Drosophila melanogaster: one gene and its partners. The protein of the gene in region 3 interacts with the protein of the main gene of each other region in a biochemical or structural test. Each region holds a gene or a part of one and is shown on either strand. Other genes may lie near its edges.

The links. The genes of interacting proteins can lie anywhere in the genome.
Region 1: the proteins of dpr5 (region 3) and DIP-theta form a complex in vitro, tested with the Drosophila melanogaster proteins (one study listed by BioGRID).
Region 2: the proteins of dpr5 (region 3) and DIP-eta form a complex in vitro, tested with the Drosophila melanogaster proteins (one study listed by BioGRID).

What each region holds. Positions count from the first base shown.
Region 1 is NT_033779.5:5,654,102-5,661,253, reverse strand, and holds the start of DIP-theta (Dpr-interacting protein theta), read left to right. Parts: upstream 1-2,693; 5' UTR 2,694-2,859; intron 2,860-7,152.
Region 2 is NT_033779.5:5,613,488-5,620,528, forward strand, and holds the start of DIP-eta (Dpr-interacting protein eta), read right to left. Parts: upstream 4,460-7,041; 5' UTR 4,168-4,459; intron 2,175-4,167; exon of another isoform or gene 1,743-2,174; intron 100-1,742; 5' UTR 8-99; coding exon 1-7.
Region 3 is NT_033777.3:11,497,286-11,507,527, reverse strand, and holds dpr5 (defective proboscis extension response 5), read right to left. Parts: upstream 7,545-10,242; 5' UTR 7,176-7,544; coding exon 7,100-7,175; intron 6,459-7,099; exon of another isoform or gene 6,412-6,458; coding exon 6,283-6,411; intron 4,117-6,282; coding exon 3,748-4,116; intron 3,234-3,747; coding exon 2,976-3,233; intron 2,255-2,975; coding exon 2,076-2,254; 3' UTR 2,002-2,075; intron 1,940-2,001; 3' UTR 1,577-1,939; downstream 1-1,576.

The DNA of each region.
Region 1 (7,152 bases), on a different chromosome or scaffold from region 3:
TCGTGAATTCTTTTTTCCAGCCCCCTGCTTTGCATACGCGCCACCCACTGGGCTCTTTGGTGGCCTTATTAAGTTGGCGCCTCTATGCAACTGCCATCAGCCGGGAAAGTTTTTCGCATACCTTCGATGGTCTCGGTCCTTTTTATACGCGGTATATTACCCAGTTAGCTGAATATTCTTGAGTTATATACGAAAATAATAAGAAGCAAACATGATTTATCTCAGATATTTCTGGATGTATTGTCTCAATGCGTTACTGCTGTATTTTTTTGCACTTCAACTACAATTATTTTGATATCACTTTCATACAAGCAAGTAAGACTCATTCTGATTTGTTTAGCCAATTGGGTCGATTGAGCAGGGTAACTTTTGATCGACTCCAGTTGAAAGCTCTTCTACATATTTTCACTCGCTCCAGTTTGTTGGGGTTGTCATCGTTGCAACTTCATTGTCAAAGTTGGCAAAGAGTCTTGAAGGGAAAGTTGGAGTGGGAAACTACAAAGAAATGCACAAAAACTGCGTTGTGCAAATACGGAGAACGAGAGTGGCGAAAAACGATGCAACGGTCTGCCAGTTGGGCGCTAATTATATGTAAATAGCTGGAATGAAACCGCCGCTCGAGGTGCCAGATAATTGGCCCTCATGCAACTGCCAAGTATAGTTTACAGCCGAAGTGATCAAGGGAAACAGTCTGCGAAGGAAAAATGCTCAAATTGTCGAGGCGTGAAGGACGACTCTTCTTTACGGTAAAGCTTTTGGCATGACCCCTTAGGAAGAATTAGAGAAATTTAAATGTGGCTACTTTGAGTGCCAAGGACTGTGCCCTAACTTGTTACTTAACGTGTCCTAGGCAATGACTGTTAGCTTAATTTACGGAAACTTAAATGGTACGCAATGCAATAGCAATTAGCTCAAATGCTAGATGAAATTCCTTTGCATTTAGGTCATTAGAGAAGAAAAATTTCATAACACTTCTCGGTGTGCGTGAGAAGGCATTTTCCCCCTTGGCCACTTCTTCTCCCCGGAGACAACATTCAGGACATAGAACAGCATTACAAAATTTCCCCAAAAAATTCGTAGAAATGCCAAAATAAACGAGTGGGATCGCTGGAATGAGATGGCGCAAGGTAAGGATGTGGAGGATGCTACCCACATGAGCGACAGTAACCAACACGTACAAAACGCATAAACATTCTTGCCTAAGTGAGTTTGTACATAAATTTCGAGCAACTTGCGTTGCAGGATGCGTTACAAGGAGACGATTTTGTGTGGGTCTCAGGATCTGTTTAAAGGGAATGAAGGGGGAGACTGTAGCAGTCTACTGTGAGTAGAGCTAAACTTACGCAAAAATCCATGGGAAACCAAGTGAGTTTTGAAGTTTAGACGGTTGGCTCAGTTTCGGTATCCTAATTTATTTATGCAGCCCCTGGCAAATGCAACTTTACTTAGGATGGATATCACTCAGCTATTCATCGTGTTAGCGTCAGTGCTTATTCGAAGGTATTCAGATGCAATTGTTTTATGTTCGAAAAATATCTTAACACTAAAAAATTTGTGCTACTAGCGTTTACTTTTCACCTTTGAATTTAGAAGAAAGCTAAGAATTTATGAAGATTTCCTACCAAATAACTAAATAGCATTTATTATTTTTATGACATCAAATTTTTAACTACCCAACTATTTAATACCAATTACCGACTACTGGTGTGTGCAACTTGAAAGCTGGAATTGAAATTATTCAACGAATCATGGCAATATCATTGGCTGTTTGCATTATGCAAGCATACCCGGTCCTTTGATGCTTGATGGCATTTCCCGAGCACCTACACACACGCAGCCGGAAAAGAAGCAACTTTAGTAGCATATTTCACGGCGCTGCGTCCGAAGAGAGAACGCTCTAAAGAGCACCGCTTGCCGAAGAGAGAAGCCTTGGGTAAGAGAGACCGAAGCGCACATTACTGACCTACATTAAGTAAAAATTTATTTATGCCGGCTGCCAAATTGGTTCCCCAAAGCATTGGCAGGCCCCGCTGTCCCCTGGTCCCTGGCTTTATGACTATGACGGATATGATTGTTGGTCGGAGTTTCCCTTTCCCCTCCTCGTACTTGCCCACTATTACTGCCTTTGTGGTTGTTGGCTTAAATAATAATGGCTTGTAATTTGCATAAATAATGTTTGATTTTTGCATTGATGAGGGAAGAGTGTGTTCCGCGTGTGTGTGTGTATTTGGGGAATTTTAAATGATTGAAAGCTCGGTCATCATTGGGGAATGCCGGGCTAGATGGCACGAAATTTTTGCATTTAAATCGATAAATTAGTGGAAAGAGCTCTAAAAATCAGTATGCCAGGATATGAGTCGTTTGGTCTATTTGGAAGTTGCATTGTAGATTTAAGCCCACCAAATAGGAAGAATAGTTTGCTGCTATAAGGGTCGACTTCGATGCCCCAACAATGGTTTCTTATCCTGCCACAGCACTGTTAACCAGCTAACAGAGCTCTGGCTCTGTTGCTCTCTAACGGGACCTGGTTCTCTTTGCCTTTGGAGTTCGGCTCGCTTCGGCAAGTTCGCGAGTGCTTGCCGAACTCCACGAACTCCGAGCCGAAGAGCGCTCGGTAGTCGACAGTCGTGACGAATGACGGCGATTATCGCCCTTCGAGGACTTTGTGTAATCAGTGCGTCCTGCTAAGCAAATTAGTTTAGTATGGTTTTAGTGCGCAACGCTGACGGTCGCACCAGTTCGCAGCTCTTAACACGTTGGTGTCGAAAGTCGACGCGCTCGCGTTTCGTCCCTCGCTTGAATTGAATGCCGCGAGTCGCGAGTGCCTGCGATATCATCGGAGGACAATAGCTCAGCACTGTACGTAAGCGGAAGGAATGGCCAGAATTAAATAAATAAATAAGTGCAAGACACAACCGGAGACGCTGGCTGCCAACTTCAATTTGGTACTTCATTTTTCACAGCCCGCTTAACGCAAATTGTGCCGGTCCTGGCTCCTTGCTGGGTACTAAGGTCCTGGTGCATACCCGTGCATTCTCCGCTCCCCTCCCCTGTTGATTGCATTCTTGGCGGCAAGTCGAGCGTGGCTCATTAAATGGCTGGCGAAAAAAAATGAAAGAGGAGTGCCGACTTGCGGAAAAACAATCACAGCATTTCTCTCGGCTGGTAGAGCCTGCAAACGGCATTTATAGAAGGGCCCTAGCGGCGCTGGGAAATTGTGGTATTTTATTCGTTATTTCACTTTGACTGTCACGCCAATTGAATTAATTCCACCGAGGAATTTAGGATTTAATTTGACATTTAATTATTGCAATTAAAAGTGGCCCGCAAAGCGCAGCATCAACAAAAAATGTCGTTTCAAAACAGGATTATGATCAAACAGAACGCAACGAAATTATGAAATTTTGTTTGAAAAAAAATGAATTACTTTCGAAAGTGGTTGACAACATAAAGCCGTGTCACATTACAGCAGCGGTTTGTTATAAAACGCGTAATAAATCTAAGAAAAAAGGAAAAAAGCTTTTATATTGATGAAAGGAAAACTTAAACAACAGGGTCAGAAAAACAATTATTGTATACAATAAAGGTTAACATTAATGGCAAAAGGATACATATATATATATATTTATATATATATATTTGGTTTTTATGCCTTAATAACTTGTTAGCTCTGCCCAATTCTATGATTTGAAACCCCTAGGATATTTTGTCTTTGTATTTTGTATATTAGTATCCTAAAATATCCTTCTCGTTATCAACATAAACAAAATAGCGATTTATTATTATTACAATTCCTTTGACTTCTAGCATTGCCATTGCTAGCTAAAAATATTCAAGCCTGAATGATGTGCTTAACAAATTAAGTTCCATGCAACATGATTTCTTAAGCAACGTTTATCCTTTATTATATGCATTCACTACTTTCGTATATACACATATAATTCAGAAAAGTTTGCGAAACGTCGAATACTTGGTATCAGCAAACTTTTTTGATAACTTTACTTCACTTGTAGCCCGAAAACAGTTTGAAGTGCAGGACGAAAATCACCCAAGGACGAGCTTTAACTAAATTATTGGGAGCTCGCGTCAAGTGTCAGACTTTGGGGGGGAAAATGGAATAACAGTTTGCCTTTGTTGTGTCTACAAATTTGTGGGGCGCTGTTCGTCAGCGCTAATGAATAGGTGGGGAGTTTTGTGCACAATTATCAAATAAAACGGGTAGCCGACCGCACAATTACACACAATATTTTCGCACACGCACCCAAAACGGAAGCCGTATAAACAACATGAATATGAAATTTAGCTGCTAGAAGCATATACATGCACATACATACTATAGATGCACAGCTCGTTGTGGATGGCCGTCCAATAAGCGACATAAAATATGCGAGCACTCACACACACTAGCGCACGCGAGCGAACACTAACACATGCATATGCACATGCGGATGAAGCGCCCGCAGCGAGTGCGGGAAATATTTTATGCACTTTATGCGGCCTGGACGGCGCTTGCTGCTGGGGATCGCTAATTAGGCAATATGCACTTGATTGTGTTATAATCATTAAAACCGGAAATGCATGGCCAACCCACAAAACACAAACGAGCGCAAACGCTTGGCCACACACACACGCGCACACATACGAATATGCGTGAATGCTTTCAGGTGGCTGCAATAGTTCACAGCATACTTTCGCACAGGGCCAAAAAGTGTTTTACCAAAGTTTCGAAATTTCATCACAAGAGTAAATGGGGTCGGTCTCACCATCCTGTCCGATTTTGTTAGTTTCCCATTTCACTCTGATTAATTATTTGGTGAAAAATAATTAAGTCTTTGAGGGGCTGGCAAGGCGTCGGAAAAGCAGCTCGTTCTCCCACAAAATGACGGAAAGTCACATCAATGGCTCGGCGGAAACGGAAGTGCGGGAAAGCAAACACGTGTCGGAAAAATGTCTGCTTGCAACAATGTGTGCTCGTACAAGTATATGTGTGCCAATGCACTTCCGCACACCCACACACCCGCACAGCAGGCGCCCATGTTGCATATGTAAAGCGGCTTGTAAGCTGGCCAATTTTTTATGCATTTATGCATTTTCCCCCGCTGCAGCTGCATCCCGTCCCCCGCTGACCGTTTTTTTTATTAAAGTTGCCCGTTAAGAAAAGCCCAGAAACCGCAGCAACAAACAGGAACGCCCACTGTGCGAACTGCATCGCACGTCCAAACGCCTTTTTGTAGGTTAATCAAATGCAAGACGGGGAAAATGCACAAGCTGCATGTCAGTGGGAAATGCTGCTTGTGGCTAGTTAGTGTGAGCGGGCGTTGGAGCAAGCATTTTGCCATCTTTTTGTGTACGCATTTCGCATGGCTTGTTATATTAAAAGAAATTTCCCAGCTGAGAAGAGACAAGGCAAGGAAAAACAAGCAAGCATCATGGCAACTGACAGCCAAGATGGACGGCTCTGTGATTTGATTTTTATTTCGAGCGATGCACAACAGCAGCTGGCAGTCAGTGGACAGATGAATTATGGCAAATGATGTAAACGCTCCCAGTGGATGTGGCTCTAATTAAACCGAGGGCCAAGAAGCACTCATAGCCCAAGTACTCATTTTCTCCTTTTACAATAGATAAATGACGTTTCGCAATTTCTCAAAAGTTTCGACTACCCTTGCTGGTTGCCTAAAACCAGAAAAAAATATTTCCTTTACTTGCATATTTATTGATTTTCAAGCCACAAGAATTTTTCGTAACGAATAGCTGTAAGTCTTCATAATAGGATGACCAAGAAATGTCGCGTCGAAAAGATAAATATTCCAATTCATCTGCAATCCGAGCAGATTTTGATTGGCACCAAACGCTATAAAAGTTTAAGCTTAATTTAATACATTTTCTGCATATTACCAGCGACAGTCACCAAGCTGCAAAAAAAAAGGAAAAGCACAAAATCCCCACCACCATTTCAGGTGACATAAACAAGCCTTTTATTTGGCATTCTGCTGCAGTTTTTGACACGCGAAAGTAGCAAAACGCTTTCAAAAAGAGAATGTCAAATAAAACACGGAAAGAATGCGGATAAGAGGAAAATTCACAAAGAAAAGAAATTGAGGAAAATATGGATGCAGACGGAACTGAGCGAAAAACTAGCTTTGGGTATATGTATATTAAGCACGAAAAGCTGTCACTCGCGATTGTCTCGACTATTGGATACCTACTTTTTTGTTAGCTTATTGGCGAATAACTTATTAATTCTTATGCGTTTCACAAGTAGCATAAGTACAATAGCAATACTAAACTGGATTTTCCTGTCTCAGTGCTGGCAAAGCTTAATATGATGGGTATGCTTAAATATGCATTGCAAAAATGTAAGCTGCTTTCATTATACCTTTTATACCCTTTGCACAATATACCCCACTCTTTACGATTGGCGGGCACAAAAATGCAGAGTCCAGAGGGAGATATCATTTATTATTTCATTTCCGAAGCAAGACAGCGCAAAAGCCCGAGACAGCAGGAATGCCGTGGATTAGCAACTGTCATTGACAGTTGGAAATCATAGACGCCATTTGGCTGGCTGCAAATTGCTGGCCGCATTTCTTTGTTTGTCATTTAACGATTGACAGCTGGCGATAAACAGAACGAAACAAAACGAGACGGTTCGGGGACTTGGCCAAAACAAAGGCTGCCACACAACGAGCCAAATGAGAACGGTGGAAGGTAAGGCGACTGCCGCCAGCCATCAAATGGAAATGTTAATGACGCATCTCATCGAGAAGGTGTCAATTGCCTTGACTTTATACTTGGCCAAAAATGCCAAGTTTGCATTGCCCATTGGCTTACCTATTTGGCATTCCTTTTTTCTCTGTCCGGCTATTTATCATTACGACTTGGCCGGGCCGAAATGCCTTGGGAGCAGCAGATGGGTCTCCATATCCCAGAGCTGCTTATCAAAGATAACTGACCGATGAACGGAACAATGGCGATGGCGAAAGCCGCCTTGAGGGGATTCAGTTGGGATTCTTCTATCTAGGATAGTCACTATTAATGCTGTCTATTAAATGGTGAATTTAATTTTACCAACAGTGTCCTGTTATAAAAAATATAAGCCACTCCCAACTTTTTCTTGGCCATTTCTAGTTCACCTCACAAATGTCAAGT
Region 2 (7,041 bases), on a different chromosome or scaffold from region 3:
ATTGCATTTTGAATATATGGGCTTTACTTTCTTTGATTGAGTTGATTAATGACCGGAAACCATTAAGTAGTCGTATCGGATATGTCCTTTAAAGCTAGTCTAAGGAATCATGTAAAATAGAAACATTATATACACATGGAATAGAAGTTATGTATCAAAGGATATGTATACATTTTGGAAATCATGTGGTATAAAAGAGAAACCATAAGTGCAGATCCTGCCAACTAATCCCCATCACCTGTAACCGCTTCAAAATATGAAGGAGGAGGAGGAGAAGGGGTCGAGTGGGCAATATCCGCGCGCCTCGTAATTGGCAGTCATTAGCGCGCCTCTAATGGCATCAACTTCTGGCCATTGCTGTTGCTATTTATGCGTGTAAACAGGCAACAGGGCAAAGTTCAACAAAAAGTACTTGAAAACAGAATCAAAACTACGAAACAATGGCAAACAATAATCGCGATGCCGGTTGAAAATACGCCAAATTAAAAGTTTCAAGTTTAAATCCGAGCCGGAGGGCCAACGGCCTTCCTCTCCGGACGTATCCTGTGCCCTCCCCCCGGGGGCCCAGTTCAGCATATTTCCTTCTCCGGCCGGAGAACAGTGCTCTTGGCTTATTTTGCGTGTTTGGACTGTGTAAATTGTGCAGGCGAACAGCTGCCAGAAATTAACTACCAACCTGCAACTATCTTTTGGAAAAGGTGTTGCATGCTCTGCCTCTCTGCTCATTTCATTTTAGACTCGTTCTCCGTTTTGTTTCACGGCTCTTAAACGTGGCCGGTGGGCAAACCTGTTTACGGAACGGAAATGAAATGTTTCGTTGGCAGCCGCAACGTTGTGAACTCGTAAATAAAGCATCAAATCGTGCATCTTTACGGACTTCTGATGGGTCTGAAATAGTTAGGCTTATGCCGGAGTTAAGTTCGGTTCACCTTTTCCATTTTAGAAGCCTGCCCAGGTGACATGAATGACACAACTTTTGCCGGCAAATGTTACCCAATGCAGTTGTAATCAGACTTTTGCGATAATTGTTTATTGGCCCATGAGCATGCATCACATGAGCTTTTCAAATAGTTATTGGATTGGTCAAAACCATTTGCTAGGTCTATAGTTAAGAGTCTCCAACCGATAATTGTCGTTTGAATTGATAGTTAAATTGCTGTTGTCTACAAAAATGCATAAAAATACATTAGAACTACCATTAAGATCTTTATTTAACGGAAATTTATAGTTAACAGGGAATTATTTTGTGTAAAAAAAAAAACAAAAGTATCTAAAATATCTAATAAAAGTTACTATCACTATGGGCCCGGTTACTCGCTAAGATTCGCTGGTCAAGTTCTGTCGATTACTTAAATTACTATTGATAAGCTGAGGTTGAACCCTATATTTCTGTTCAAACTATTTTTACGGAACACTTAAAACTAGTTCGGGGGCAATAATAGAAGGGTGCCTGCTGCCAGACGCAGATATCAATATGTTCGAAAGTCCGCCCTTATGATTGGGGAACCTTGATTAACTTTCCAGCTGACTCGGCCATGAGCCTGAACATGCAAACGATTTCGGGTTTTGGAAAAATAAAAGTCTACTTTCTGGCGGCCGCAAACTGACAGGAACCATTTTAAACTGACATTTCATTAAAATTCCTTGTCCCCTCCCTTCGAGTTCGTATTGATTTTTTCATAATTTAGCGGAATTGAAAGCAAAGTTGCCGGCATGTGTGCTATGTGTCCTTTGTCATACACACATACACACACACACCCATACACTCACACATTTAAATCCGCATTGCATGCCCAGAAAAGTAGACTACAAAAGACAACAGGCAAACGACAGCACTGCAAATGGTTACAGGGAGGGGGTGGCGGTTGGCCTGGAACGGCGGTAGGCACTAAAAATGTCTAGCAAATGGGCCTGGCAATATTATTAATAATTTAGAGCATGCGGGCCACGTCAGGAGTCGGACTCGGAGTCAGGGACAGGTGATGGCTTCAGGCTTCAGGCCCACGGCCTGACCACAATCCGAAGCCATATCGAGGCGATTGTGTCGAAAGTACCTTCCCGCTTCTGGTGGGCAGCTCTTGGATGTTTGGTGCCATTGGATATTGATGGCGATGTAGATCACTGATGTTTATTAATTATCACGAGTTAAAAGTTTTGCTTTTCTAAATTGGCACAACAGCCTACACTGACAAAATATCTTCATTCATTCAAGCATATATAATATATATTGTGTTTCACATTCTTCTGTAATTATATAAAATTGAAAATATTTTGTAATAAATAATGGAAAGTATTTAAACAAAGCGAAAATTCAATCGAGCAATGTGATGAATGCCTAAATTGACCACAAGCAATTTTCCAAGCAAATGTGTAATTTATTTCAATTTGGATGTTTCTAAATCCTTTTCCTGTACTTATTTTGTTACCAGCTTTAAGTACAACTTATGAAAAAGCAAAAAAAGAAAATATTTATGACAAATAATAAGAGGTGCTCATGGCACCTTTGTAGTGTTCAAGCCATATATTATTTTTATGGTTTCGGACATGCACGGTCCCTTTTTCTCCAACGCTTCAATGTGTATAATCAGCTGCTGAATTATGGCAAATTTTCAGTAACCCCCCCGACAGTTTGCTTGAAGCACCTTTTGCATTTTTCCCTTTAAAACAATAATGCTGACATGTAGAAGCTTCAACTGAAATGTCATTCGCTACTACTACCAGACTTCTCGAGCTATACTTTAAATTCAATTTCCAGCGCAAACATTAATTAACACGTGATAAATATCCCGCTCTATCGCGATGCCACTTCGACATTTTTCAGAATTATTCGCCGTCTAGCTTTTTAAATTTTTTTTAATCCGGCCCAGAAAAGGGCAGCCCAGTTAACCGGACCTTGCATAAAATTTGCATAACTCATAGTGTTCAGGCTGGCAGCGCCTTCTAGAAATCAGAGTTTCGCTCGGTTTTTCACAATTTTCTCCTCCGCTCGCTTTCCAGCACGGAAGTTGATTATTATCGCTTGTTATTAACAACAGCAACAACAATGGCAGGAAAAATCCAACTCCTCACATGCCGGCCATTATGTCAAGCCGACTGAACGACGAGGCCTTGCCAACCATTTCGTTATCGCTCCGGGGGCAATTGGAATTCTTCTTATGCAATTGATACCGGAGCAGGCGGGGGAATTCGGATTAAGGGGATTACGATTTCGCAGCAGAACAACAGGGTTTTCAATCTTGAGTCAACATGTTTTAATTTCCATAATATACATATATGTATACCACTCGGCCCCACCTGGAGCGTCAGTAGACAGTGCACATTCGGCTGTGGGCGCCAACTGAAATCACAATCGAGCAGATAACAACTGATCAGAAATTATATGTAAAATGCAAATGATAGAGAAACGCCATAAATCGAAAACAGGCACCATCATGCCACCCCGGGGGAAAACCACCGAATGTGGGTTGTACAGTGTACACTGTACACATATTATTTCCGGTTCGTCCCAAAAGCGCTGCAACATATTTGCAACAAATGGCTAGCCAGCTAGACAGCAAATTGGCATGAAGCGTCGAGGGTTTGTCCTGCGCTTTATGGATATCAATGAACTTTAAATTACACTCGGGCAGCCGTGAAACATAAAATATGCAATTGTTGCCCATGTGGCCTAAACAGTGCACTCCTGCCATACGGGGACACTCGTAATAAACAGCGTCGAGTGGCGCGCCAGACACATTCACATTTGTAGGCAAATTTCACGATACACACACACACACACACAGACACGCATGCAGCTGGAATGGCAAATCATGTGACGAGCATTGACCGCCGAGGGTGGCCCGATTGTTGTTGCTTCATAAATAACTCGGGCTTTGTTTTTACTTTAAATATAATTACAGCAAACACGCAGCTGACGGCAAATGTCGCCAAAATCGCGGCTAAATTGCCAACAAGCGGCTAAAAACGCGCGCGACTCAACACGCGAGCGAATTCTACTTGTTGTCGATTTGACCTGGCCGAAATCGCTGCCAAACTATTTTCGAATGCCTTCACTGGCCGCAATCACAGCCAGCGATTAGAAAAAGGATTCCTTGCTTTCTTTCAATAGTCTTGCATGCAGATTTTAATGGAAGTTCGCATTTAACTTAATAGCTGCAGCATAACAACCTTTTTCAGAGCATTTTCTTGGCAATCTTGTATTTTTCGTGAAACTCCAAATTGCACATGTCCTGCGGCTGAGCTGTCCTGATTTTTTTTTTTTTAAATCCTGTCGAGAAATTCGCTCAGCACAAGTCACTCATGGCGTCTACAGCATCACTTCGATTCACTTGCAGCACGAATGCAACACTTGGCGGCAAAAAACACACGCGATTCCGTTAGGGATTCTGCTTGCTTGTATGCAGCAGGATTCGAAGGACTAAAGGCCAACCGCACGAACCGAGCGCCGTCGATGTACTGAAGCCAGCATTTCCGAGGGCCACCAAAGTCGCGTGGAACGACTCCCAGCGACTGCCGAGCGATGCCGAAGATGCTCCTTTGGCGAATCGTCGTCGTTTTGGGGGGTTTTGGGGGGAGTGTGGGCGCCCCAGTGGGTGGGTGGTGTTTTTTAGTGGGCGCCCGGGGGGTGGGCAGCGGCCTCGCGAACGAATCAGACAACTGTGATTTTTGTTGTTGCTGGGCCACATTTTATTTTGCTTTTTGTTGGCGGGCGCTTTTCACTTCGTGGTGCTTCTTTTTTCCTAACATGCTCTGCGCGTGTGTGTGTGCGTGTGCTGCCCAATGGGGGGCGCGCTCTCGGCTCGGTTGAATACGAATTGAATGGCATTGAAAGCCTGGGAAATTCTCTCGCCATACTTTTGGGCGCGTGAAACTGGTGGCTCGCATTTATGAATGAAATCTGTGGCAAAGGAAAGGGTTAACCCTTTTTGGGTTGGGTGAAGGGATGGTGATGGTGAGAGGGGGTGCTGATAGTAAGTAACTGTGTGAGATGAAGAAATGAATTGTCATTGGTCGTGGCGCTTGAATATGAGAGAGGGAATTATCACTTGCAATTCTGACAACTGCAATAAGTACAACAGATTATTGCCATAGGAAAATACTATATATTTTGACTTGTAGGTAGAAGAAAATGGAATGGAAGCCATCTGCAAGATGATCTTTCGCTGTCTTCTATTTTGGATCTCTTTTACGGGATTCATTTAATATAAATCAATCATTATCAGAAAATTATGCTTTAAATTTAAGTATGTATTGATAAAAAACAATGTTTCAATGGTTCGCAAGAAATAGTTTCCATAAATTTAAAGACGTAACTAAGGCCAATCTTACATCTAACTGAAATCTGTTTGAAATTCTCAAACAAAAATTTTCTAACGATATAATTTGTAGTATATATGCAGAAACAAAGTTCTTTCCAACTAAGAATTGAAATAAAATTTTTAAAATTAAATTAGTGCTTTACTAGGCCGTCTTATTTATATAAAACGATATAACAAAGTCGTTCAGCATGAAATATTATTTAATAAAATTCGCCTGCATCGTTCCGAGTCAGTTTTGATTGTTATTAAATATATTAGTGCCCCCAATACTTTGAAATATGCAACTAAAAATTGACTGCGATCGATTCAAAAATGCTTCAAAGTCCGTTCGCTATGATACATTATTTAATTAAATTTCTTCTGCTTGGTGAAACTTTTCTTTGGAGATTTCCATTATGTGTGGCAAGTGCAACAAGCGAGGCAGGAAAGTCACCCACCCACACACGCACACCAGCCAGTCGCTTTTCAATAACCGTGCCACATTGTGTCAGGCACCGTTTTGACCTGGCCACCGCCCTCTGCAACTCTAAATTGCTCATATATACTTATATATATATATATATATTTCGGGAGCTAATCAACTCCCGCCCCCTTTCCCTATCGCGTCTTTATAACAGGCATATAATTTCGCACAACACACGCACACGACCAATAAATAATAGCGATGGAAACAGTAGAAACCCACCAATAACAGATTTTATGACGTATAAAAAGGATTTATAAAGCGTCCCTGGAAGGAACTATCTATCCCGCTCCATTTCTCCATCGAAAACTTTTCATTGCGTGCCAATGCACTGGAGCCACAAATCATTTTTACCAAAAGGGTTAGCTCTACACTCGAAGAAAGAAAGTTGATTATTTTAAATTAAAATCAAAGAGATTACATATTAGAATTATTCAAGAACAAATACACTTTAATGAAATATTACGTTATGTTCAACGATGGATTTATAAATTTGACTATTCAACTATTTGAACTATTTTCTCTCAGTATATAGGGACTGGGAGGACTAGCAACTTGTTTTCAAGTTTCTTGCTTTGTTTCCTTTGCCTTGCTTCCTGGCTGGTATCCTTTTACGAGCTTGCAAGCCCCTAATATAAATTTTGACACCTGATAATTGCTTTTCACTCGCTTCCGCGTTTTTCGCTGGATGCGACGACGACAGCTGCAGTTCTTTCACCTGCCACCCGGCGGACGAATCACCTGCGCGTCTGGAGCCACCACCCACCACATCGGGACATCTGCCCACTCCCACTGATGGGGGCTCGACATGCAAAGGTGGTGGGGAAGTTGGGGTCGATGGGGAGGATCTGCAGGATGGTTTGTTAGCTGCTTAACTGCCATAAATTATGACTATATTTTCGCTTTTACGGCGCCGTTTAATAGACAAAAGTTCTGGCTGAGTTATAGAAGGAAGCGTCAAGGTTGCCAACCGGCTTAGGAAATTGCCAATTAAAAGTCTATAAAAGTGTATAATTATATGGAAATATTCGGAAATTATTCGGATCGTGCGTCCAAAATAGAGACATCAATAGGGACGCTTACTTAAATATTACTACATTGTAATTGCACCCTGTAAACTTTTTACTTATATCTTATATGATATAGTTCTTGTAAGGGCATTGAATTGTCTTCTCCAAATTCTACCCATAAATATAGAGATACTTATACTCTTAATTTTATTTATTCTCTTTGCCACTTTAGGCATAATTTGCACTCTCT
Region 3 (10,242 bases):
TCTGCTCAACTCATTATTTACCAATCCGAAATGTTGTTTTTTTAAAGGCGAAAAGTATATGTGCTATTTGTTTAAGATTTTCTGTACGCTTACCTTGTACGTGGCATTGAAAAATAAGTTCATTCTGTAGGCATTCGCCTTGCCAACTCAACCAGAGGTTGTGCCACACCAGGAGTTGGGTATCCGGTAGTCGCAATACTATCCTGCGGCCATCCTTTCGCCCGGCATTGCTGTTGTTGCCCAACGCAGCGTATTAAGCCCGTAAACAAGTCTACTAGCAATGACTCCGGTTAAGGCAGCGCCAAGGGCTACGGATATGGCTCCGAAACCAGCGACTGCGGGCATGCCAGAGGCTGTGGCTCCTACTGGGCTGCAGCCCTGAGCATGATTTGTTACTGACAGCGTCTCAGGCAGCAGGAGCAGCAGAAGCAGCAGAAGCAGCAGCATCGCCCGGAGTCCGAGGCTGGGTTTGATTTATTTCCCGTTGTACAATTTATGAGTGAAGGTGAAGCGGCAGCAACAACAGCACCACAACAACCGGCCCAAGGATCCAGATCCCTCCTTCGGCCGGGCTCAGCTCTTGGAATTCATTGGGCTCAACCCGAGTAGCGTCCTTCCAAAGGGGTCATGTTCCGGTCCGGAATCAAATGGAGGGAATGGGCTGAGCACTGGGACTGTGACTGTCAGGCAGCGCGTGTTTTAGATGCGTAAGATTCCCCAAAGATTTGCGAAATGCCAAGAGGGAAAAGAAAAGCGAACACCACGACATGCTTACGCCCATGTACCCAGCTACTCCACCCTTCTGTTGCCCCCGTTTTTAAACCCTCTCCTTTTCGCCGGATTGTGATGGATGCTCGCCTACTTTGGGGGCTCCAGGCTGTGCGGTTGCGAAGATGTTCCATCTTCGCGCCGGAGCCACCAGCAGTCCTTGCGTGCAGACCCATTAGCGGCTGCGAACGTCTTTTATTTCAATTACCACCACCTTATGCAAAATTCAGCGAACACTTGGCATTAAGGAGATGCGTTATGCGGCGTGTTCCATCCTTGCGAGTCCTTCTCCTTACCCAGCCATTACTCATTGTGTTGTCGGCGCTTTTGAAGCACTTGGAATTGTCACTGAAGTCCCTGCATTCAGGTACTTATTGCCAAGATATCCCATTGTGGCCACAAACTTTGTCCGAGAACTTCAGATGTAATTGCCGGCGTGGAGTGTGAATTATGCACGCCTCAAATGTTTCAATTACCTTGCTCCAGGCACACCTGTCGTCGCACTTCCCTTCACAATTTCCTTCGCCACCCAAAAAAGTGAAAGTGTTCCGTCTTTGATGTCGTTGCCGGTGGAATGGGGCGGAGTGTGTGAAGCAAAGTATGTACTGATGACCCGACCTGACCTTATCGTATTTCAATTACCGCTGGAACCCTCAACGCATCGCCCCGGCAATTAAGCGGCATAATCCGGGTCGCAGGATGTCAGAGGCGGAATTGAATTCGTTCACATTCATATCGCCATCAATCATTGGTGGAGAAAATTAAATTGCAACCGATTTATCATAATTAATCTAGATCTCGTCTATCTATTATTAAGATTAAACATTTATTTACATTCGTTACGGATTCGATTCGATTCGGATTCGATTGCTCGTTTTTAGTATCTCTAGGTATGCGATCGTGTGTGAACAAAATGTATATGTCCCATTTGCCACATAGCCAAGATTGACTATATATAGCCTAGCCAGCACATATGCTCTCTCCACCTATTTACTTAATTACGTATAAAAATACTTAGAGACTGAGCCACAAAACACAAACACAAACGTAAACAAAAACTCAATTTACATATTTACAAGACAACGCGACATCGACGTCGTTAACCTCCGCATCCAGCAATTTCTACCGGGCTCCTCCAATGTGGGCGGTTACTGTGACGTGGAGGCGTGGCCTGTAACGAGATGATGACTACGACTCCTGAGCTGATGGTGGCATTAAAAATCACCGACTTACCCGGCCACCAGGAATAACGGGGCTCCCATGGCTCCAGACATCGAACATAAGTTGCCGCTCGTCTTTGGCTCGGCTTAGCGGGTTGAGAGCGGGGTGCGAATCTGGAGGCTGGAGGTGGGGCCCAGCAGGACGACCAGCAGGACCGCCAGGAGCAACAGGGGCAGAGGGGGCAGGAGCAGCCTCGAGCCCAGCTCGTGCTGCATGGCCGCGTGCTGCTCACTTTTAATGATATGCACAAAGACGCTGTCAGAATCTGTTGGGAAAAGGTGGCAAAAGGGTGGGTTAGAAAATTGTAAAATAAATATTTTAGGTCGTTACTTATTAAAGGGCTGAATTTAAATATTAAAGCTGGCATACTCTGTACGAAAAGCAGTGAAAACAATTATTTGAATGTATAATGTATGGCTGCTTTAGCAAGAGTATTATTAGCTATTGTAATAACATTAGTTATTTTTTAAAAACTGTATCTCCTTGAATAAATAACAATAATAAATGTGCACTGCTATTTTCGAATAAAATTTCATAATTGAGTTTATATGCATTCAATATGTAAACTCAATTATAGAATATTATTTTATGCAATAAGCCACCATTAACTTAATGCCTTGTAGCTATGGATAAAGTGAAATCTGTATATTTTACATTGTAACTGATCACAATGTATACTACACCCATAAATAAGTAAGCAATTGAATTAATTTGATTTTCAGTATTTGATGGTTAATTTACGATGTTTATATGTGCAACTACTTTTCGATAGTCATGTGCATGTGTAAATATTTTATACGAGTCAGTTGGTGGCGTGTTTCAAATGTAATTAAGTATTTAATGAAATCGAACTTTCGTTGTAAAACTGTCAGTTCCATCTTGGACTAATTGGATTTAAATTAAATTTTCGACACACACACCTTAATCGCATATGTATTCACCTAGTGTCCTTAATCTAACAGTTCATGCATTTCTAAAGGACTCACTCGAGTTGTCCGCGGAGCAGGTGTAGTTGCCCGAGTCCGTGTGCTGGACTCGCGATATCACCAGGTTGCTGGTCTTCATCTGCTGCTCGGACTCTACGCGGATGCCACCCCGCGCCGAGTCGCTTACCAGCTCCGTGTCCTTGTGCCACAGCATGTGCGTGTAGGGTCCTGGAGCCTGGGGTGCGATGCACGTCAGATTGATGTCGCTGCCACTCTGGATGAACAGCTCGCGGTTGGCCAGGATCTGAGCCTTGGAGGCTGTCAAAGAGCGGCGTCGTTTTCGATTAATGGGTATGTCAACAAGTTGCCTATTGGGTGGATCCATAGCCCTCAACCCCTCAACTTCTCAATCCCTATTCCCATGCCCCATCCTAGTTTGTCGTGTGATGTACTGGGGTGTTTGATAAACTAATTTGTCAAAGTAATCCCAGCCCTTCGCGCCCTTGCGCTGCTGTCTAAACGGAGATGTAAGCAACGTCTTACAAGACCGCCAATCGATTGAGATTCAATGGGAGTAATAAAACAGGAACTTGGGGCTGAATTTCGATTGAATAATTATGATGGGTCATGAAAGGGTTCGGAACAAACTTAAGCGGATTCAAATGGATTTGGAATGTTTAGTGGTATGTACATACCAACAGAGAATTATTTGAAGCCCTTCGATTCGTTATGAACACAAGGATATTATCAGTAAATATAGTTTTGGATATATTCATTTGCTCAAAAGTGACAAGTGTCTTGTTCATAGCTCTTCTTAGTGAAAGATACTTACTCACGACGACCAGCTTGTAGGCCAGACTGATCTTGGGCTCCGTGGACACCTGGCACTCGTAGACGCCCGCATCTCTCTGCTGCACCGAAACGATCTTGAGCACCCACTCGTCGGAGTTGTCGATGTGCCGCGCCAGAAAGCGCTGATCGTTCGTGTAGGTCATGATGCCGATGGTCAGGATGTGGAGATCCCGTTGTCGTATCCAGGACACCGCCCTGTCGCCCAGGTGGCGAACGCGGCAGTGGAGACGGGCGGTGGTGCCCAAAGCTGCAATAACCTCCCGATCTGTTGTGTTGTCAAACACGGGATCGATGGCATCGTAATTATCTGGTATCAAGTTGGACAATTCCTCGGCGGCGGCCAGATGGCCTGTAAAACAGTAAACAGATTATAATTATTTAAAAGGTTGAATAAGTTGAATAAGTTTTAAGAACCCAAGGATATGAATAACCCTCTAAACGTCAAATTTATCCCCGCGGAAACAGAATCTATGCCAATATATATTGTTAGTACATAAAGGGCCTAGATATTCAAGCTGCCCATTAAATATTCCCTGGGTAGTTCATTCCACCAGTTGTATCTGAACGTCAATCTAAACGTATTCAAGTGCATTTCAGGACCTGAGCCCAGGAGGCAGGCAGGCAGATGAACACAGGAAGCGTCGGATAGATAGACAGTTAGACTGGCAGATAGATAGATGAATAGATAGATATGCAGACGGACAGACAGACGGACGGACAAACGGACAGATGGATGGTCGATTGGTTGGCTCAATCAGCTGGCGGGGATGCCTCAGCTGGCAATCAGCATTCATTTGATTAACGAGTATTTGTGCTTAATTTATGCCGGAGCTTAAGCCTACACCCCTTTGGAGCCATTCCCGCGTTTATGATCCATCGCTGGGCGGCCAAGTGATTTATGTGGGTGGTGGTGCTATTGGCGCTATTGTTGCTGCAGCTCCACCGCCCAAATGGCGATGTATTAGCCAACTAATGCGCTAATAATCCATGAGTGCCTAAACAAATACAAACACAAATACAGCTGTGCGTGGGATGTGAAGGAGAAGGGACTGGGTACTACTCGATTGGTTATGTGGATATGTGGATGTGGAGTGGATAAACACATATTGATTTATAGGCCAGGATCCATATTGTGTGCGAGTGTGGTTGAGCAAATTTAGCTATCAAATATCAGGCAATAAAATGACGTTTAACACTTAATTGAAACTGTTGATCCGCAGCCGATGACTATGACGATGCTTTAGCTTTCGCTATGGCTGTTGCTTTTGCTTTTGCTTTTGGCCAGGCCAAGGCACTTGAACTGAAATTGCTTTTTATGCTGGCCACAAAATAAAAAAAAAAAACTCCCTCGCACACACGTTCCCGCACAACGGCAGGAAATATGTAACAACATAAAATTTTTTAATAAAAGTTGCGTATTTACATACAAAGTGCGGGGTGGTAAGTTGGAAAATTGCCGGGTCGAACCGCAACCGCAGCTTCAGTGGCCATGGCTAACGCTTCTGCAGGACCTCAACATCCACATCCACAACCTCCGGCTCTTCCTTCATCACCATATCCCCATCATCCCTAGCTGCAGTTCCCCAAGCGGGCCCTAAACTGAGTTCAGGTGCCATAAATTACAAATGAGCAATTGCAGCTGCTCCTGGGTCCCGCATCAAATTCACTCGCAGCAGAGAGATGCGAAATAGATGGGATCATAAACAATTCCTGACAGCTGCGAGTGCAGATTACCTAATTCGGATCCCCTTTTAGAGATCAGTTATCCATTAGGCAGCTTGCTCCCTTCCGTTGCAAAAAGCGAAGCGGAATTTAACTTTGTGTTGAACCACATTAAACCACATTAAAAGTTTGCAGGATTTAAATGAATAAACCATGTATGCAACTTAAAAAAAAAAAAACATCTGTGTGAAAAAATAACTAACCGGAAAAGTTACTTTCCATAAGTGTAATTTAATAGGCAAATATGTGTTGAGGGATTTGAGAAATATGAAAAAATGGAAATACAAATTCACAAAGTACTAATTGTATGAAATTTAATAAAACATGCTTTTTACGTTTAAGCTTATGTTGCACAAAAAATTATAAATCAAATATAAATCAAATATGGCGAAAAAAAGAGTTAATTTCTTTTATTCAAGTCATAATCGTTGTGCTCGTTTAACTCCTTTAATCTGAACTCCTTTAACTTTAACTCCTTTAATCTATCTAAAAGTAATTTTAATTAAGGTATTAGCAATTTAGTTTTTTAATTTCATTAACCGCTTAAGCAGTTGAGTATTTAAAGTGTGTCCTCTGCCCCAACTGCGAGATCAGTGACCCCTTGTAATCCCCGCCATATCCCTCAATCTAATTAGATTGCTTCGCGCTTCCCGATTCCCCACTTCCGATTCCGATTCCCAATACCATTCGCTCTGCGATTCTCATTTATTATGCCATTTCTGATACGACTGCCCAGTCCCCGGTTGGCTTAACCCTTTGAGTGTTGTCTGATTAGATTTAAATCCGTACTCACCGAAGTATTGGCTGCTGCGCCGGCTCTGCTTGTCGACTGGAGCGGTTAATCCCATGATCACGAGCAGCGCCATAAAGTATTCCACCAACATTTCATGCGCAATTTGTGGGGCTCTCGAATTACTTATAACTGCAGCCAGGACGAAGGACCACCAGCGAAGAGCAGGAGCAAAGTGGGTAGGGCGACAACAGAAAAGTAATTAAAATAAATGATGGCAATCGCGGAGAACTCGACTCTACTCAATTCAACTCGAACCGAACCGAAGCGACTCAAATCGACTCGAAAGGCAACACACAAAAGATGAAGCTAAAGATGAAGGATACTCGCCACCAGCCCCGCCCACTTTTTAGCCCACAATTGTGCAGAAACAATAACTGAAAGGGATTAGGCTCTGGGCTCCGTCTTATCGGTGCTCCGGAAACCGCAGCACATTCATTTAAACTGATGACAAGACCGCAGTGCGGTCGAGTTTTCAATCACCATGACGCCCACAGGACAAGAACGAGATGAAGATGTCCTTGCGAGTGTTTGGCAGGGGGATGGGGGGTGCCTTCCGTTGGGTCGTTAGAAGGATCCTGGAAGTGGAGGGGGGCTGGTGGTTGGATTCGAGCTTTTGGTAATTTCTTCATTACACACTAAGCTGTCCATTCAATTGCTTCTGGCCAACGGATGAGGAAAAGCAGGAGCATTTACCTCGCCCGCAGGCAGCAATTTCGCTCTGGTCACGTTCTGATAATACACTTAATTATATTCGACAGGGACGTGGAGCTAAAAAGAAGGAGGAGGAACTGAGGGACTAGCGCAAATGAGGAGCTACCTTTTCCTATGAGCGGACTAGATTCGGTGGCCGTGGTCGAAGTAAATGTAGCGCGAACTGCGTGCCGCCATCTCATGCGCAACGTAACGCATTCGAGCGCGTTGCGTTTGTGTCCTTTTCCGCGGAGCGAGCAGGTCCTTGGCTTACGTAACAGCCCTTACGCTACGTAAGGAGCACTCATCCACACACTCCGACACACTCCAGCACCATCACCAGCACCACCAATTCGCAAAATCAGTCACTCCAATGACGCGATTCCAATTCCAATTCCGATTCCGATTGAGACGCCAGATACGAGATACGAGATACGAAAGCCAGCCGAGCAGGCCGAACACGAGTCACGGCTAGCGATTTCCCAGAGTCACGGGTAGCAGTTCACGGGTCACGGGACACAGTTCCCCGAGTTTCCGGTTTGTCAGCGCTCGTTGCGTGTGTGTGGCTTGAGGCGCGGTAAACAACTGAACGGAGCTGCTCCAGCGAATCCTCCAACAATATGCAAATCTCCAGGAGAAGCAGTGTCCTTGCGCCGGCGCAACAGCAACATGTTGCGGCAACATTTATTGAAGCCAAATTGAATGGTAAGCCATCGTATCATATTAGGAGGCGTGGGTGGGTTGTCGGAGGGTTAAGACCTGCTCCTGCATGTCCTTAAAGTTCATTGGAGGTGCGTGGCTGAATGTGCTTATGAAATATTTAGTAGGGTACGTTTGATTTGTGTCACGCAAACGGCAGACAGCAGCAGATCGGCCGGCGACAAGAAAGGAGCAACAATGGAGCAGCGAGCACCAGCACCAGCAATAATGATACACAAAAACACAAAACAACATCAATAATAGAAGGCGGAAAACTCATGCATGACAAGGCGCCTTTTTAAGCCAGCTTTTTGCAATTGAAAGTGGCAGTGGCAGCAACAGACAACCACACACACACTCGCACAGCACTCGAGTGCCACGCATTGTGCGCCCATTGTGTCAAAGCGGAAACGGATATGAAGCGGCCATGGTGCTGTTGCTGCTGCTACTGCTGCTCCCTACTCATGCCGCGCCCCATGTTGCTCATGTTGCTGTGCTGCCGTTGGGCGACTTATCAAAATCGATGAGGCAACATATGGTCGATTTTAATTTTCTAACATATCTCTCTGCACGCACACAGACAGGCGACACACACGAGCCATTGACACGAGACAAGCCACTGGAATACACACACACACACATGCAGACTGGCATCCTCACCTCGGAAAGTCCTTCTGCCTTTTCCACACCCTCGTCGACTGCAGTACCCCCCTGAAATCCGTTTAGCATATTTTCTTTGGAAATTGAATTTCCAAGTTATTATAAATATTTCTCCAATAAATGCAATTTGAGTGGAATTCTTTCTTCGTCGCGTCGTGTGCTTCGACTTCCTCACCTACTCCTGTTTTAGCATATCCTGGCGAATCAAATAGACAACAGGACGAGCGGGCGCCTCAGTTGGGATAGACCACCCACGTCGCTCATATTATTTTACACTAACAAGCCAAACATTCCTTAAATTTAACAAGCGGCGACATTTTGCCAGCCCCTCATCCATCTCTTTTAGCCCTAAGTGAATTCTGTTTTCATCGCTGGCTGTCGGTGAATAGGGGTGCAGAATTATGAAAAATGTTTACTATATATAGGGGGGAAAGTCACCAGAAATTGTTGCAAGAATGTAAGGCGCTTAAAGTGCGGTTGTGGGCCACGATAACTTTTGATACGCTGCCAGTTGCCCAGAAAAGTATGCTTTAATATGTTAAGTTCAATATTTCAAAGCAGTCCGATGAAAGGATCACTTTCGCTGAAACTTCTCGAGTGGAACGACAAGTGCCATTCCGTGTAGTCTTCTTTTGATAAACAGTGATAACTCAGCTGCTTTGACATTCTCTTTTTTTTTTTTTTTGAGACTATAAAGTTTCGAATGGGTTTTTAAACATTGCTAAAAGAAGTTGGTGTTGAACAAACTTTACAACCAGTTCTAAGAGGACAGGAACTTTAAATGAAATGCAACAGAACGCTACTTTCGTGCTTGAATTGCACTCTAGGGGCGTGCGCTATAGGGAATCCCTACTGTATTTGTTATGACTGTGGGGTTTCGTCGCTTTGCGTCTTCGATTTGGACATTGATTGCATACAGAATTGATGGAAACGCTGCCATTCGCTGCTCCTACCTGGCTGCTCCTTCTGCATCCCCTCCCCTGCCTTATCCCAACCACTTTGGAAGCCCTTCCGCTGGGAAGTGCTGTGCTGGGGAAACGGTGATGGGGATGTGGATGTGTGGTGCGGGATGGTGGATGGGGGGCGACTGTCGTGTGTAAAATTGATAACTTTGTTTGTGTAAACAGCGACGCGACATATCGCCCTCCATGGGAGTTTCCTCTCCATTCCGCATCCTGTGCCCCTCCACCTTTACCATTCCCACTCCCTTCCCTCCACCATGCCAGACCGACAAATTTTCCAACATGATGTATGTTTTCGGGGCGTGTGCGTGTTTATATCGCGAATACGTACCGCTGACTACACACACTGGCACTGCGACTCGAATTATCGGTGTCAATTTTTATGCTGCTACGTGTGCGAAATTTAACAGAGCGCCAACTGATGAGTGAACCTGTAGACACATCGCATTCCCTGGTCCACGTTGCCGAAACCAAAAACAAAGCATTAAACGATGTCGCCCAATTTGGCATTACATGGCGATTGCCAAGGACTCGATAACGAAATGGAAGCCAAGCCAAACGAAGAGCTACAGATACAGATACAAATACACAGATAGAAATTCAGCTTCGAGCTAAGGAGTAGCAAGAGGATAAAGAATGTCTGGGCGAAAGCAAGGTGAAAGCCGGCTAAATATGCCAAAAGTAGTTGCAGGAAAGAGGAAAGCCAGGACAATAAGAATCGGAATCACCAGTAGAATCAACAATGGCCATGGTCATACTCATCGGAGGAGTAACAAGCGTTACGGGAGTAACAATACAATGGCAACAGCAATAGCAATAGCAACAGCAACATAACAGCAGCAGGCGGGACAGACGATGCTTAAGTTTTGCTCAACTGTTCATCAGAATTACAAATTGTATTCGATTTCCGGCATTTGTGACGCTTGAGTTAACAGGCGAAGTAAGCAGC